Daphnia pulex: one gene and its partners. The protein of the gene in region 3 binds, or shares a complex with, the protein of the main gene of each other region. Links are inferred from orthologs where the notes say so. Each region holds a gene or a part of one and is shown on either strand. Other genes may lie near its edges.

Region 1 (4,278 bases), on a different chromosome or scaffold from region 3:
AATCAAACAAAGTAAAGCTGTATAAGTAAACTGGAAGCTTCATAAGTGCTTTATTCCATGTAACGATCATTACAAACGTAGTACTGTTGTAGATTGGGGAATTGGTGGAAGAGCTGTTCTTTTGTTTGTATCAGCCGTTACTCGTCTTCTATTCATGTGTAAAAAATAAATACATTATTATTTACCATTTCGTGGTTGACGTTATGAAATCATGCGTTTAATAGCGCCTTTTTTAAAGCTACCTTAAGTCATGTCGCGTATCTAATTAGGTTTTTTTCCCCCAAGAAGCCAAGCACTTCCACTAGTGGTTAGATATTATACATATATACAAAGCTCGAGCTACGAATTCAAGCAAAACGTAACACGGCGTACAAATGCAGGGAAATTTGATTAACTGCTTGGACGTGTTTATTTAATCTTTGCTAGTAAAAAAAAAAGGGAGGCCAACACCCAAGCAAAAAAAGCAAGCCAGCAGTTACACACGCACGTTACGATATTGATTGGTTACAAACCTTCGCCTTCTTCGAAAAATGCTTCATCGTCGCTCTCAAACGTGTTATCGGGCACCTTGTAAAGGCGGATGACGGGCTTGTTAGGATCCTTCACCAACAAATATTTGCCATCCTCTTCCTTCATACACAAATCAATAATACAACGGAGAATGCCCCAAGCATTGTCCATGTTAAGGTTGATTTGCGATGCGAAATCTGACGGGCGGAACTGCTGTGTTCCAAGGATTACATGACGCGATGTATCTCGTAAGTGCATACGGGAAACATATCTGAAGTAAACAATATTAGTTACAATAATATTCGAGGGACAACAGGAGTCTTCACATACCCGAATTTAATCCAATCAGAGTTGGCGAGCAGAGCTTGCACAGTCCATTTTGCTAGCTTGCATGCATTATTCTTCAGCTCGTTGGCCAGAACAGCACCTCGCTGAGTGTCCAGTTTCTGGCGCCATTCGACTCCACCAGACAACTTGAAGTACAAAATCATTTTAAAGACACAGTTTCATTACGAACAGTGAATATGCATACCCTTGAGTCCCATTCATTAAGAGCTTTGATGTTGATAAATTGGTTATCACCAGCCGATCCAACGGTGACAGCGTCATGTTCGCAACGTGCCACCAGAACAACACCCCCATCTAAATCCCATTTACGGTAACGGTAAGCCACCGAGGCAACTTCACCTACTTCATCTTCCGAAATGAAGGGATTAGGCTCATCCAATTTGAATTTTTCTTCTCCCTACAAGATTATGAAACGACAAAATTAGGGATTTATGCCATTTTATAAAACCTATTATAAATACCATCTTCAGGACTTGTTGGGATAAATTATGATTAATAAAGGTCGCTTCTAGTGCCAAATTACGTGGGCTATTGATGCCCTCTTCTTGAGGAGGTTCATTGGATGTTTCGGATACAGTTAGCAGATCTAGGGAAAAGGGAAGATTATAGATCATTGCAAACTCCCTCAGTGGCCAAAAGGTACGTACCAAATTCCGAATCATCACGTTTATCAAAAAACAGTTTGCCACCAACTTTCTGGACGATTATGTCCCAACTATAGTTGGAGCGAATACTGCACATCAAAGTAGCCAAGATGGAATCAGTTGCGTAGACATTACCCTCAGTTTTTGCCAACTAATGAATTTGAGAATTAGCATACTACCACGCGTAAGACTTGAATGTGACTACTGTTTCTTACTTTGCGGATAATGGGGTCATCAGTTGTGGTGACCTTGTGAAAAATACGATCAATTCTTTGCAGTCTTCGTTCATTTTTCACAGTTACGCGGTCGTACTGCTTATCATAAAACTCGAGTTCACCACAAGTAAGTCTGGAAAAATAAAATAATATCATTATTTTAAAATCAGCATGTGAAAGGTTTTAGTTTAAATAGTTGATTACAAATCAGAAGCTTCCTTGCTAAGACGCAGAGAAAGTTTGTTGAGCCTGGGGAAATCCATCTCTTCAATGATTTTCCATGAAGGCTGAACAATAACTGATGATTCACGGTTTTTAACCTGAATTTGGCCCTACAAGTTTTTAAAAAATGAGTATGAGACTGAATAATCGGTAAGGTGAGAAGCTTTACTTGACGAGGTCCTCTATTATTCCACTTGTTCCTAGTCTGTCTCATTCGGTTATCCTTCATCTTGCCACCTTCAAAGAAAATGTATAAACAATCTGTTGCTATTAATTGCTATTTGAACACTTTACCTTTAAGTGGCACAGGCTGAGAATTCCTAAAGTTTTGTCTGCCTCTTGCAAGCCGTTGGTTGCGAAGGAATCTTCCTCTAGCATACATTGGTCTTGGAGTCCTTGCAGTATCCACAAGCTGAAAGCTGTTCTCTTCCTCATCATGCAGATAAGCATACTGGCTTCCACCAGCCCCTCCAGAGTATTTTCCACCACCATACTTGCGGTCTGTAAAGGAATAATTGATGCTGCTTCCACCAGCCCATTCCGACATCTAATAAATTAAACAAAACATCAGAAGAAGTTAATACAAAATTCGGCAATGAAACGTTACCTTCGAGAATGGTTGATATGGCATATCTTTGTAGCGGTCGGGAATACCTAAAGGTCCCCATCCGTCATTATTGTCTTGAGTCGCTGGTGGAACAAAATGCGCCGCCATGTTATACAATTTAACGTGACCTTATGAAAATAACTTTTCAGAATTTAGTCGTAGGCACTTTCTCACTAGACCGGCTGGCTGACAGCTTGCTACAAGTTAGAACATGGTAATCGCCATTTTAGTACCGGATGCTACGTATACCACTGTTGCCATTGTTGAAAATGATGTTTATACCTTTCTGCCGCTTTACTTTTTTCCACTGTTTTCCTAATAATTCCGAATTAGCATATCTTTAATTTCAATCACAAATTTTTAATTTAGACGCAATTATAATAAGATACTGAAGTATGAAAATCTTAAATCAGCTAAAAAATACAAAAAATATAATAAAAAAATGGCCAGAATACTAAATGACTAAATGTATTCTGATCTGGAATATGGTGTTTTTTATAAAATCCCTCCAGAGTCAAGCTCAGACTCAGATGAAGAAATATGTTACATTACTTTAGAAAGTTACACCAGATTGAACGTAAGATCACGGAAACCCCACACTTCATTAAAATATAAGTAAGCCCACTAGAGAGAAATGTTTTTTAATTACATATTATTGTTGTCTTTTCGAAGATAGCACAAATTTTCTTTCGAGAGTAGAGAATCATTACTTTCTCCTCCATGTATCTTCGTTTTTTAAATGAATGACGTATCAATCTTAATTTTGCGAAAGAGGAACATAAAGAGGAATTGTGAGGTAAGATTTTTCAGTATTAGAGTGATTAGAGAAACTGTGGATATTCTGTACAGGGCACGTGTATTCTTTCAGCTCTTAAGAATGATTAACCGTTCGATCTGGATATTTTCTAATGGGCCACTGTGCAAATATAGATATAGACTACATTATAATTCAGAGACCTATTCAAAATTTTATAATTCATCGACAAACGGGACGTTGCTCAGGTTTCCAATGGCAGCGACAGTTAGCTTGGCAGAAGCCAACCGGGAAGCTACAGCGTTGACGTCAGCAATTGAAACATTATCGACAGTAGAAAGAAGATCAGCCCGGTTGAGAAGCGCTTGCAGAGCCAACTCTTCAACTAACACACCAGTGTTCTCTTTGGCCATCAACAAGTCGGCTTTAAGTTGGGCTTTTGCACGGCTCAATTGGCTTTCGTTGACTGAAGCTGATCGCAAAACTTTTGTAGCGGCGGAAACAACTTTGCCGGCATCTGAGGCTGGGGCAGCGGCCACGAACCCAAATAGACCAGCATCGGAGTAGTTCAAATTCAAGGAAGAAACTGCACCAGCACCCAACACTGCTTGGTTTAGTTTTGATCCTGCTCCAGAACCATATTTAACTGGGATTCCTAGACAGTAACAAAGGAGTTATTTTGATAGACTTTTTAATTGTGGGAAGAAGGGGAATATGATTACCTGCACCCAATGCTCTCTGAAGAAGAGCAAATGCAACCATGGCTTTCGTGTCAGCCAGAGAAGCTCCGGGAGCAGCTACAGCCACATATGCTAAAGAACTGCTCGTATCCACACGTACTTCTCCTCCGTGTACTTTCGAAGGAGCCCCCGAGCAAGACTGACCAGCTTTAAGAGCCAAACTTTGGGCGTATGCGACCAAGCGATCGTGAGGAATACCAACTCCAACAACTGCAGCATTGTCTGCACGCAAATTGGC
Region 2 (3,749 bases), on a different chromosome or scaffold from region 3:
GTTGTATATTACTTTTACTATAAGTGAACAACTCGGACATGTGGCTTCCTCTTCCCCATTTTCTAGCTGTTCCTGTTGAAATAAAAGTAAACCTTTTAATAAGCTTGGAATCTGAGTAAGGAATGGGGACGTCACATTACTTTGGTGATTTCAAACCGATCTCCACAAGGGCAAGGATAGAAGTAAATTTCACTGTCCGAATCATATTCAAAATCTTCGATTTCAACTTCATCGTGATAGACAGACATTTTCACCAAAAATTCTGAGTAATAAATAAAAGATTTTTCTCAACTACTGAAACAAAAATGTGTGGATCTTCAAAAGACAACACGTGAGAAAAAGAGACATCTGCCGGCCAAAAATCAGACTACCTGAATTAACTCACGTTTACACGTTGCATATAATAAGCATAATAAAAAAAGAATTTTTTTTTTATCTCCTACCCTACTTTCAAACAACAGTATGTTGGAAACAAAACAGAAATAATGATCAAAGTCTGATTTTGTCAGATAATGTGCCGGCGTCATCGTTTATTTCCACAAAACCTTAATAGAGATGGATAGCGGGATAATTTGAAGTCTTTTGTTTCTTCTCTAATCGGTTCAGGATTGCTGAGCGAGAAGTTCGGCTTGCTCGTTAACGATGGTTAGCATGGAATCTTTGACCTGTCTGAGGTGGCCTCGCCAAGTAGTCAGCAACTCACGCAACTGCTGCCAGTGCTGCTTGCCGAATGTCCGATGCATGGTTGATGAAACAAGCACTTTCTTGTTCAACTGATCCATTCGTGCGCGCACCAATTTCGTCTTAAGGACTTGAAGGACAAATTCCTCTACTTGATCTTCGGTTAGTTGTAATTGCTTCTCGAGCGTTTCGAAAGGGAGCTCTACGGAATTTTCAGCCAACTGCATGAAAGTCAAAATTCGCATTTTTCGAAGGTTCTGCTCATGTTTCAGACCTAAAAATCATTGTTACTTAAAATTCTTAAAAAAATACTTAAAAATTTCCAGTAAATACCTAGTCCTTCAACAAAATCTTTCTTTTCCTCATAAAACTTCAAATAAGCTGACAGCTTTTCCGTCACGAATACGGTCAACAGATCGTGCAAAAGGGCACCTTCCAAAACTGTACACAAAAATTAATTAATAACTGATTTAACTTCAAAGTAATTTTTATAAACCTTTCACAGGTTGCAAAGTCAATAAATGATCGAGAAGGAAAGTGTTGGGATCAGCCAATGAAGCAACAATGCAGCGTTGAGCTTCCTCACGAGCCTGTGAAGCATTTTCGGTCGTGTAAGTGCTCAACAACTCCACCATCACTTTGGAGGCCAGTTCACTGAATAATAACACTGGTTTGATTTATTGTTACAATTATTTGTTTAACTTCAATACTTTACCTTTCTCTGGAGTTGAGGAGAGCTTCATGTAAACTTCGGAGGAGTTTTTGCATCTGCTCGTTGTTAGGTTTGCATGGCCCTAGTTGAGTACGCATTTTATCTAGATCCGTGAACACTGTCTTCATCTGTTCCACTTGTCCAGCAACTTGGACTAGCGTGTGATAGACCGTGTAACGCGTTGTACTCACAGGATCAAGCCCATGAAATAGTACAGACAGACTAAAGAATCAAAATTATAGTTAGACAATTCATTATGTAAACTTCAAATTTCAAATGCTCACACTCTCAGACAAACAAGTCCCAACTTGTTTGAGGGGGGTTTTGCAAGCTTTTGGCAAAACGTAGTAATTATTGGTTCAGCTTTTTCATTGGGGAGAAGAACGAGCATAGATACAATGCTATTCAAGACTCCCTCAGATTCCACTTCATTGCCCTCCTTCAAAGAAGAAAATAGTGTAAACACACACTACTAATTGAAATAAAATTGTCACTTACTTTGAAACAGAGATCTGCAACAGCAACAATGTTGCTAAGATCTGAGTTTTGATCATCATCCACATTTGATGCTCCAAGAGCCTTGAAATAGCTACACAATTCAGTAGCCTAAAAAGACAGATATGAATACAATGACCAATTCAAAGCCTTGATGTCTTAAATTTTGTCTCAGTACTATATAACAGTTATTTGCTTTCTCCAGGTGGTAAAACAGGTATAAAAATTAGAAATACTAGTAGGGAAAATTGTCTATAACACAGAAAGGTGTACGCTACTGGCAGACTCCACACTTCATCGCCACAACAGTTTAGCATCTACCGGACTAAATTTATGGGGAAACTAACCTGTTCTTCGACCGTTAAATCGATAAATGCTGGTAAACTCATCCTGATAAATTGTTCAAAACAAACTGGAAAAAAAGATTCCTTTATTAGAAGTTGCTTGTCAAAAAAATCCGGATATAGGCCACGCTCACGATCCCGGTACAGAAGTTCGTCTGTAATGGCGACATTGCCACCGTGTTCCCCTACAGATAAATCAACGATTTTTTTTTTTTTTTAATTCTTTGTTTCAACACTTTCACGCTTTCCAAAATTTTCTAAAACCAGTTCTTGATTTTTTAAAATTATTATTAAAAAAATTACTACCTTTTAAAATTGCAGCATAAAAGATCACCACATTTGTTATCGCTGTTATCGGCTCACTCGCAATTTCTATCTAACTTGACGTGTTGCGGTGTTGGAAGAAACAAACCGAATACACCGTCAAAGGTACGCACCGGTTTCGGATTCATTTGATCGTTATCATTCGAACCAGCATTTATTTTTCAAATTTATTAATTGTTAACTTCCTTATAACGTTAAAGTTAACTGGTGACATTCACAAATCTGTTAACGTGCAAATCGCAAAAATATATAATAGTTGGAGTGGTTGGCAATTTAGGTAGAAGATAGAAGTAAGTAAGACATTTTAACTATTGCATCAGACATTTCAAAATATTAATGACTAGATTTTACTTACAGAGTGAGAAGTTTCGAAGGGATAAATAATAATTTTTGGAACACATTGAGAAATTGGTTGTACCTTGTTCACCTATTATGTCTGAAGCCCCCTTAAACAACAGCAGCATGGAGCTGAAGATTTACAATAGTCTGACTCGTAAGAAGGAGGTGTTTACTCCTCAGAATGGGAAAAATATCACCTGGTATTCTTGCGGACCAACAGTCTATGATGCATCCCACATGGGACATGCCCGTTCATACATGTCTTTTGATATCCTGAGAAGGGTCTTAAGAGACTACTTTGGATATGACATTACTTATGTAATGAATATCACTGATATTGACGACAAAATTATTAAAAGAGCAAGGCAAAATTATTTATATGAAAAGTATGCAACTGAGATGAGTGAACTTGAAACTCTTCAAACAGATGTCAAGGAATCTGTTGATCGTCTTTCTAAGCAAATGGCAGTAACCACCGATCCCGACAAGAAAGTTATGCAGGAGAAGATGTTGGCCAAAGTCACTGCCGCGATTGAAAAATTCACCGAAACAATCAAGCTTGGTCAAGGATTATCCGAAGCAAAGAGCTTTTTGTTGGCTGAAGCCAAAGACGTCTTGAGCGATTGGCTCGACTCGAAGCACGGCATGGATGTTTCAGATAACGCAATTTTCGCGTCTCTTCCGCGACATTGGGAAGAAGAGTTTTACAAAGATATGGCCGCTCTCAATGTTCTACCAGCCGATGTTATTACGCGTGTTAGCGAATATGTCCCGGAGATCGTGGATTACATCTCACGAATCATTGAACGTGGACTTGCATATTCAGGTGAGTTTTTATCTCTTTTTTTCTATTA
Region 3 (8,450 bases):
CGTTTTGTTTCAAGATATGAAAGACGTGTTTAGCTGTTAGTTTATTGTAATAAGAGACACGGGCATTGCATGGTTTATAGCGTGAAATCAGCTGAATCACACGTTACGTGTCAATCAGCAGAAATAGTGAGTTGCTGGTCAATGCGTTTAAAGGTCACAAAGAACCCCTCGAAGCCCCGTTCTGAGAACTCCGGCTCGACCTTCAGGCAAGTAAGGGGGCGACAGAGAGTGACTCACTATGTCGTGTGTTAATTGCGTGTTTAAAAACCTAAATTTATACTTTGAATATAATGGCCTCTGTGTAATAGAGCTGAATCACACGTTACGTGTGAATCAATCAGCAGAAATAGTTAGTTGCTGGTCAATTCGTTTAAAGGTCACAAAGAACCCCTCGAAGCCCCGTTCTGAGAACTCCGGCTCGACCTTCGGGCAAGTAAGGGGGTGACAGAGGGTGACTCACTATGTCGTGCGTTTATAGCGTGTTTAACAACCTGTTTAAATCCTTACTTTGAATATAATGATATAATATAAATAATAACACTGAGCATATAGAGCAAGACATTGAAATGGTTAACAAGAAATATCACCCTGAATTGAAATGTTTATAAATTCTACTTTATTCCTGCTGCAAGACACTTAACTATATTAACAATTTGAATTTTAAGCTGATTCAATGTTGGACATTGTACTCTAGCTAAGTTAACGATAACGAAATAAAAGTTCCTTCTATACACTGACTATTTTTATTTATTAGTGAGATTCAAATATATTTGATTGTTATAAATACATTTTATTTGAATTTCCAAATAATTCAAATCTAAACCATTCAAATTTCAAAACACAGAAACAGAATGCCATCGGTCGCCAAATGAAAGTACTACATATTTCCTTTCCGGAGTGCAATAGCCACTTTTGACGCTAGAGGACTCCGGACTCCGGAGTGCAATAGCCACTTTTGACACTAGAGCGCTCCGGACTCCGGAGTGCAATAGATTTTACCATTACCATGTCTGACAAAACTGATCGAAATGAAAACTTCGCCTTCTTCTTCACACCACTTCACACCCAACTTCGTGTCATAATGTGAGACAACGTTGCCGCACGCACCAGAAAAAAATGTAGTAGTAAAAATAATATTTTTGTTTTTCCAATTTTCCAATCCATTCCAGTTTCCAACATTCTATAAATCCGTCATTTCCTTCAGACTTCAATTCCATTTCCCACTATAACCCATAAATTCCGAAATGCTAACTAATTCAAGCCATGGAAAATTTAAGTACTTCCAGTCTTTCATTACTCTGCTGTCAAAATGATCGAACTCCATGTTTCGATTACAGTACCCTCGGGCACTATAAGAAAGAGTATATCTCTGTTAAGAGTTTAAGACTAACATTATAGAAAAATTTGCAGACTTATTGATCAACGAATGTTAACGGTAAATTTTTCCCAAACAGAAACATGTACAATATATTCCTTTTTACTTCTCGTTCAACTTCAGTTGCGACGAGGCAATCAAAATGTATTTTTGATAATCTAAAGGGTACATGATAGTTGAAACCAAAGAGAGACGCAAACAGCCATAACCAATCGATGAGACACACAATTATATTTGTCTTCATTTTCTGATGTTGGATTTGTCGGATATTAATATCTGACAAAAACCTCGAGATGTGCTGCCTTTCACTGAATAAGCAGCACGCCTCAAGATGTGGTGATTGTTTACAGTCTTGGCAATTACTCGTCGATGAATGTCGTCTCCTCTTTAATGAAAAACTCGACTGTCTCCTCTTCTAATTCCCCTCCACGGCCTTCAGTTTCATCCGTATCCACGTCTGTGAATTCATTTGTGAGTTAAATCCTGATAAGCTTACTTATTAACTAGGTTTAAGAACTTACTGTTGCGCAATTCGATACGACGGCGACGTTGAGCGTCATAGTCCTCTTGCTTCTGCTTACGCAAGTCTTCATATTCTTGCATCAGTTTGCGGCGTTTTTCTACCAATTCCTGGGTGAAGTTTGAAAATGTCAGATTTTTAGAAAATACTTTCGCCAAAAATTACACATTCAAAAAATATTTACTTTGGAAGCTTTAGTCATTTTCAATCGATCCTTCACTTCGAATTGGGCACTAAATTTCTTCAAAGACTTCTTAATGTCCTTTATTTGTTGGGCTGGAAGTAATGAAGGTGGTCGAGGTCTCCATTGCAGCTGACAGAATTTGTCTAGTGCTACGCGTTTGAGAATGCGTCCTTGGAAGGACCACAACCAGTAGGCATTATCGACCTGTCAAAGTACAAGAGATCAAACATTGTCAAAAATGAATACATTGCTTGATTTTTGTTACCTTGTGACCCCACCAGGAAACAGCAGTTGCGACATACCGACCGGTTGGATCCCACTCCACATCAGTAGCCATGAAGTGTTCGCCCGTATTCATGACGGTAAAATCATGGGTGTCGACAAATTCCAATGTGCCAGACATGGCACGTAGGCCGGCTAACACAATGAACTGGCCTGTTCGATAAAGTATAGTAAGGATTTTAGAATTTTAACATTAAATTTAATGTTTTCTTACCAGAAGGGGCCCAGTACAACTGGTTGCAAGGTTTACGTTCGTATTTTTTAACCATCGTAGGCGTTTGTCCAGTTTTAACTTCGAAGAAAGAAACAGAAGTACTCGGTGGCTCACCGTGGATGACGGCAAACTTAGTACCAACTGGCTCCCACGCAAAAGCTTGAATGGTTTCCTTGATTTCTACCGAGTCGACTGGAATTTGTTTTTCTCGCATGTGGAAAACTTCCAAATTGTAGTAGATACCGCTATCAAAGGGGGGAAAATTAGCTTTTATATCTATTAATTGAAGGAGTGGCATCTCATTACCTGTATTTGATATCGGACTTATCTTTCCTTAATTTGGCATAGCGGTCGACTTTCACACACAAATAGTCACCTGATTTTTGCCAATACATTTTACAGTCGGCAACGCTAAACAAATTTTTGACTCGCACTTCATTGCGACTTGGCAACTCAAGAAGTGTGACGCGAGCAGGAGTATCTTTCTCCTCTCCGACCCAATAAGCAATCGTATTGTCTGTTGGGCTCCAGGCAAAATCTCGAATTCCTTGAACCTATCAAAATGTAAGAGTGCATGTTAGGAAATGGTTATTAGAAGATTTTGTAAATCGTGTACGTTACTTTGATCGACTTCTTGTCTAAAAGGCCAAATGATGGGGTTTCATAAACAGAAAGCATGTCGATTCCCATCCTAGCGAAATACTTGTCATCATGCGACCACTTAAAAATGGGCAGGGCTTGAGATTTATCGGCATTAAAAGCTCGTCGCTTAAGACCGCTCAACACGTCCCAAATGATGATGGCTTGTGGTTCATCAGTTGCTCTTGAATCAGCCAGTGGACTAAAAGATACTAAATACTTCTCACATGGTGAGAAGTCAATGAATTGCACTCCTGGATGACTGAAGCGCACAATTTGTTGAAACTTTTCACCACCCCAAAGAGCTATACCCTTTGCATGGAAAGTGGCTAGATAGGTGCCAAGAGGTGACCACCGCACTAGAGTCTCAGTCCATCTCTGTGAAGATAATTATTGGTCAGATAAAATTTTAATATGAAAAAAAAAAATAATAATAATAATAAAGGTGAAGTGACTCACAGGTCTTTCTTCCAGCAGAGAGGGTTCAGGTTGAGTGTTCAAATAAACAGCAACTTTGTCTCCCTGCTCATACACAACTGAGAATTGGTCACAAGCGTCTTGATCAAGAAGATAGTATTGAAGGCATCCTTGCTCCTTAAACGGCTGAGGAATTGGATTTTCCCACTTATCAAGAATGTCATTATATTTTTCGAAGTCAGTAAGTAAGTTCACAGTGAAGGTGTGATTTTTGTCGAACTTGTAACCATTAGTTCCTTTAAGAACTTCCAATGCTTCATTGGCATTTGAGTACTCTATGAAAACATGGCTTCAAAAGTATATTATGTTAAAATTGGGCTGACACAAAAGTTAAAAAAAAAACTAATAAATTACCCTTTAGTTGATCCATCAGCATTAAGAGGATAATATTCATTAGTTATTTTTCCAAACTTTTGGAATAGTTTTCTCAGGACATTTTGAAGTTTTTCTATCCTCTCAGTACCAACCTGAGGAACACCGTCAATAACAACAATTGATTCGACTCCGTCGGTTTCTTTCGGACGCTGCCTGATGAGGTCACCTATAAGATCTACATTGACAGTTAGCAAGATTCAATGCCGGCATGCTCAGGAAAGCCATATGGCAAAAGGTAAGTTACAAACGGTACCTTCTTCAGAAATATCGTCCTCATAACCTTCCGGATCATCGAAGTTGGGCTCGTCTTCTAATTCATCGTTTGGGTTAGAATCCGAGTCATCGTTATTTTGCTGAGCTCGATCATTTTCTTTTCGTCGAGCCATGATGAAAAACAAGCACTGCACACCGGACACGAGTCTTTAATGGCGGAAGCCTGTGCCAGATTTCAACAAATAATACTACCATCGAGAAGGCCAAGGCAACCACCATCCACCAATCAGGCAATCACCATTCACCAAACACCATAGGTAACTTGGTGACTAGCCTAGCCTGTCAGCTAGAACGGGATCTTCTGAAGGGAAAATAATTTAGATTTTTTATTATTATTATTTTTTCTTGATTTTTATTCGCATTATAATCATACATTGGATTTTTTTTTGTTTTCAGAAAATAGCCTACATTTATTCATTTCCAAAAAAGTTGAATCCTTATACCCATTTGAGGAATGAGTTGGTAATAATTTTTTTAAATATTTTTAAAGTAACGTAATGATATTTTAAAACCATGATAGCGAATATTTTACAAATATGTATTACGCCTAACTATCAGTCATGGCAAATATGCCTACGCAAAAGCACAATTCTAGCAGCCGAATCATCATAACCCGGGAGGGATGAAAACATCACTTAGGCCTATAACCTACGTGAGTTAACGTTGATCGCAAAATTTTGAAGAACCACTACAATTGAAAACTTGTCTTAACATTTAAATATGTATGATTAAAGTTTTAAAGTCGTAAAAATTGCGAATAATCGAGAAGAAGTTGGCCTTTTAAAAGTGTCCGGTTGTCGGTAACATCGAGGAATATAAAATGGACAGCGTATTGGAAGGTTATCTATTTCAGATGCATTCTGGAACGTGCAGCGATATGCTGGAGCAAATCAAGGATATTAAAGATGTTGTATCCAAAACCAAAGACAGTAGGTTTCAAATATTGGTCCCATCAAAAACATGTTAATCAATTCATTTACATTGTATTTTTTCTAAAGATTCTGTTGTCTCGGCTTTACTAAACAAAGAAATTGGATTAATTTCCTTGTTGTCCAAGTTCAGAGATTCTCAAAAGGATGACAACTTTGCAGAAATAATAAATTGTGCCCTGTCAATTTTGGGTGATTTACTGGAAAAATTTGGAGAATCCATGAGCAACCATTTAGTGGTTATTAAAGTATGGAAAATAATTAATATTACCTAGCTATGTGTAAAAACCTAATAGTATAACTTTCATTTACCTTAAGAATTTAGCATTGATGTACATGAACTCCAAAAATTCTAAGATACGAGGAGCTTGTTATTTTGTTCTTTGCCAAGTTGTTATTACTGCTCAAACTTCACCAACAGAAATATTAGAAGAACTGAATTTGCCAGCCCTTTCTAATATGCTTTTTGAAAAAATGGCTACATCTTCTGATGATAGTTCAAGCAAAGGTGATTAATTAAAAAGACTATTGTATAATTACCCTGTTTGTTATGCAGATTGTATTATTACTGTGTATGCATAGATATGTATTTCTATGGTTATTTATAATATTTATGTTTTACTTTAGCGAAAATGAATTTCCTAGTACTCCTAGGCAGACTGGCCCAGTACTTTCCTAGTACACTGAAGGAAAAGGCCAGTCGCATCATTAACCAACTCCTTTATGAACTTGAAAAGGAGGTAACTAAACATTAACGTAAATAATTACGTTCTGTAAAATCAAATAATTTTTCTTTTTCTTTCTTTAAAGGTGAAAAGGCAGCATGATTTCAAAGATAAACGTGTAGCAGGCTGTATTGAAGCTCTTACAGGATTTCTCCATTCATTTAATTCAATCGTTGACCAAAAATGTAGGGAAAAAATTCATAGTTACTTATTGATGCTTCTCACGAAATTTTTACTGGTCGATAAGAGAGTTCATACCAAAAAAGGTGGTTATATTAACATTTGGTTTTTCATTATTTTGCCTGAACTATTTATTTTTTGTTTTTGTTTTTTATGCACAGCCGCATTGAACATGCTGGAAGAACACGCATCTCTCTTCAATAACTTGCTGCTAAAGCAATACAAATCCTGGTTCGATAACTTGAAATCTTATGCTTTGCGCGAAAAAACAGATATTCTTGAAAGTGGTCTGAAAGCACTTGGGAAGTTTATTGACGAAAGCGTAAAAATTTTGAAGATTGAATCAGATGCTACACACAAATCATCAATACTCGAGGTTTTCATTTTCATGTGTATTAATGTATATTTTCTTCTGTTTAAAATTTATCTTCTTAGTTTTTCATGAAGAATGTGATAGAGATTTTGGAATCTGATCAGGCTTCCCTCCAGCTCAAATGTGTTGGCCTTAAAGCCTTGGGCGAGTGTAGCTTCTTGGTTTCTGGAAAGAATGTATCACACATTTTTGAGTATCTACTCAATAAGACATCGTTTATTTGTATCCAGTATGCAGGCCTTTTGATCAATTAAAATTCCATCTTAAAACTAACAATTTAATAAATTCTGCAGGGAGGATACTTCAAAGAGCTTGGATCTTTTTCCTATTTGCCTTGAATCCCTTGGACTTGTTCTCATGCGCTATGCTACCCCCGTAGGAATTGAAAGAACACAGCAGCTACAGAAAATGTTTGTCCATCTTTTCTCGCGCTATTTGGATATAGGTACTAAATTGAAATATTCCTTTTTTCTAACATATTTAATCAACACGTTTAAATCGAACAACAACTGACTCCTGAAGCTGAACGAAATAGATGTGGTCGATCAGTTGCCGTGTTTTTAGTTGGTGTTCATGCTGCTGTACAGAACCCTATTAATTTTTCTGCTTTTGTGAGGGAAGTTGGTATGTTATTAAATACTAATAGGCTACTGTTATATATATTTGTATGTATCTTTTTTTTTTGTTCTAGTGATTCAAAGTTTAATTCGTTCTACCCGACCAGAACTTGATTCTGACAGTATAAAGAAGTATGCCTCTCTTTGGATTACAATTATGAATTTCTCGTGCCAGACGGATCTTCCATTTAGTCTGGAGGACCGTGTTCGAGTTTCTGAAGTACTAGATGGGCAGTTGGTTACTGCCATTTCCACAATAATCAGCCGTCTAAATTTCTCAGTAAATGAGATGGAAGATTCAACGGTAGACGGAGAAAAAAGTATTTGTTACTACGTTTACGTTCATTCATTACAATTAAAGTTTTATTTCTTGATTAAAGCTGAAAGTAGTCCACGAAATCCTGCAGATTGGCAACTATTCCACAACCTTGCTGATTTACTCGAGGATTTATTGAAGATTATTGAACCAAGGAAAAGATTGCAAGATTTGGTAAGTGCTAGTGAAATCAATTATTATTTTTCATCTTACTTTATTAATTATTATTATTTATTGTTGTGTTTTTTTTATTAATTTTATTAGCTTATTCCATTCGGCAGAGAAGTTGTTGAATTGTCAACGAAATTTCCATTAGTTCCGGGACTGTACCGTGTTTTGGCATTGGTGTTGTCTATTATAGGGCAAGATTTACCCGTTATTCATCACCCCACCTATGAATTGTACATGTCTAGCCTAATTAATCGTCTAGCGCAACTTTCAGATGATGTCCTTGTCTCTGCCGTTCAGGTAAAAGCTAAATTTTTATTTTTGATTGTTTTCTTTCATTTATTTGAAAAATTGTTGTAGGCTGTTTTATCAAGTCCTGCGTGGTTGGTGACCTCGCTCAGTAGTTCAGTCACCGGTGCTTTAGCTTCAGCCTTAAAGATTGGTCTGACATATCCGCCTATGGCTGAATGGCCGTTGAACGCATTAGAACATTGGCAAACAGCATTATCCTTTTCCTGCATCGATCCCATAATGGAGGAAATTCTACCTTTTCTCGAACCTTATTTGAGTAGTGTGGAAAAATTTACCAAGGAAGTGCCCTTTATTAGCGGAAAACGATTAAATCGATCCAAAGCAAACGCAACGCCTACTATTGTATTCATGAAATAAGTTTAGGAATTTTCTTCCTCTTTGGTACGATATATTCTTTTCATAGGATCGAGAAGCTTGGGCAAACATTCAGCGTAGGATTGTAAAATTACTTGGCCGTATGGGACCTAAATGCAGCCGTTTGGTTCATCAAA

What was found.
Region 1: eukaryotic translation initiation factor 3 subunit B-like (region 3) and eukaryotic translation initiation factor 3 subunit D-like share a complex: the UniProt entries of both Drosophila melanogaster proteins name them as parts of the eukaryotic translation initiation factor 3 (eIF-3) complex. The link is inferred for Daphnia pulex from reciprocal best matches to the Drosophila melanogaster genes eIF3b and eIF3d1.
Region 2: eukaryotic translation initiation factor 3 subunit B-like (region 3) and eukaryotic translation initiation factor 3 subunit M-like share a complex: the UniProt entries of both Drosophila melanogaster proteins name them as parts of the eukaryotic translation initiation factor 3 (eIF-3) complex. The link is inferred for Daphnia pulex from reciprocal best matches to the Drosophila melanogaster genes eIF3b and eIF3m.

What each region holds. Positions count from the first base shown.
Region 1 is NC_060023.1:3,616,111-3,620,388, forward strand, and holds eukaryotic translation initiation factor 3 subunit D-like, read right to left. Parts: upstream 2,801-4,278; 5' UTR 2,655-2,800; coding exon 2,547-2,654; intron 2,487-2,546; coding exon 2,234-2,486; intron 2,177-2,233; coding exon 2,109-2,176; intron 2,050-2,108; coding exon 1,922-2,049; intron 1,851-1,921; coding exon 1,718-1,850; intron 1,654-1,717; coding exon 1,506-1,653; intron 1,445-1,505; coding exon 1,320-1,444; intron 1,256-1,319; coding exon 1,043-1,255; intron 984-1,042; coding exon 841-983; intron 782-840; coding exon 513-781; intron 191-512; exon of another isoform or gene 149-190; coding exon 138-148; 3' UTR 27-137; downstream 1-26. Other genes in the region: L-allo-threonine aldolase-like, read left to right, coding at 1-25; cytochrome b-c1 complex subunit 2, mitochondrial-like, read right to left, coding at 3,516-3,955, 4,023-4,278. UniProt on the Drosophila melanogaster protein: mRNA cap-binding component of the eukaryotic translation initiation factor 3 (eIF-3) complex, which is involved in protein synthesis of a specialized repertoire of mRNAs and, together with other initiation factors, stimulates binding of mRNA and methionyl-tRNAi to the 40S ribosome.
Region 2 is NC_060019.1:9,159,597-9,163,345, forward strand, and holds eukaryotic translation initiation factor 3 subunit M-like, read right to left. Parts: upstream 2,417-3,749; 5' UTR 2,278-2,416; coding exon 2,236-2,277; intron 2,000-2,235; coding exon 1,892-1,999; intron 1,833-1,891; coding exon 1,678-1,832; intron 1,616-1,677; coding exon 1,397-1,615; intron 1,336-1,396; coding exon 1,178-1,335; intron 1,123-1,177; coding exon 1,015-1,122; intron 956-1,014; coding exon 603-955; 3' UTR 501-602; downstream 1-500. Other genes in the region: DPH3 homolog, read right to left, coding at 1-72, 141-248; cysteine--tRNA ligase, cytoplasmic-like, read left to right, coding at 2,989-3,721. UniProt on the Drosophila melanogaster protein: Component of the eukaryotic translation initiation factor 3 (eIF-3) complex, which is involved in protein synthesis of a specialized repertoire of mRNAs and, together with other initiation factors, stimulates binding of mRNA and methionyl-tRNAi to the 40S ribosome.
Region 3 is NC_060026.1:9,961,519-9,969,968, forward strand, and holds eukaryotic translation initiation factor 3 subunit B-like, read right to left. Parts: upstream 4,578-8,450; 5' UTR 4,453-4,577; coding exon 4,320-4,452; intron 4,242-4,319; coding exon 4,046-4,241; intron 3,981-4,045; coding exon 3,674-3,980; intron 3,593-3,673; coding exon 3,197-3,592; intron 3,130-3,196; coding exon 2,882-3,129; intron 2,821-2,881; coding exon 2,576-2,820; intron 2,515-2,575; coding exon 2,345-2,514; intron 2,284-2,344; coding exon 2,080-2,283; intron 2,006-2,079; coding exon 1,897-2,005; intron 1,833-1,896; coding exon 1,735-1,832; 3' UTR 1,471-1,734; downstream 1-1,470. Other genes in the region: DNA-dependent protein kinase catalytic subunit-like, read left to right, coding at 5,160-5,268, 5,338-5,516, 5,587-5,776, 5,896-6,008, 6,079-6,259, 6,335-6,549, 6,609-6,775, 6,840-6,991 and 6 more. UniProt on the Drosophila melanogaster protein: RNA-binding component of the eukaryotic translation initiation factor 3 (eIF-3) complex, which is involved in protein synthesis of a specialized repertoire of mRNAs and, together with other initiation factors, stimulates binding of mRNA and methionyl-tRNAi to the 40S ribosome.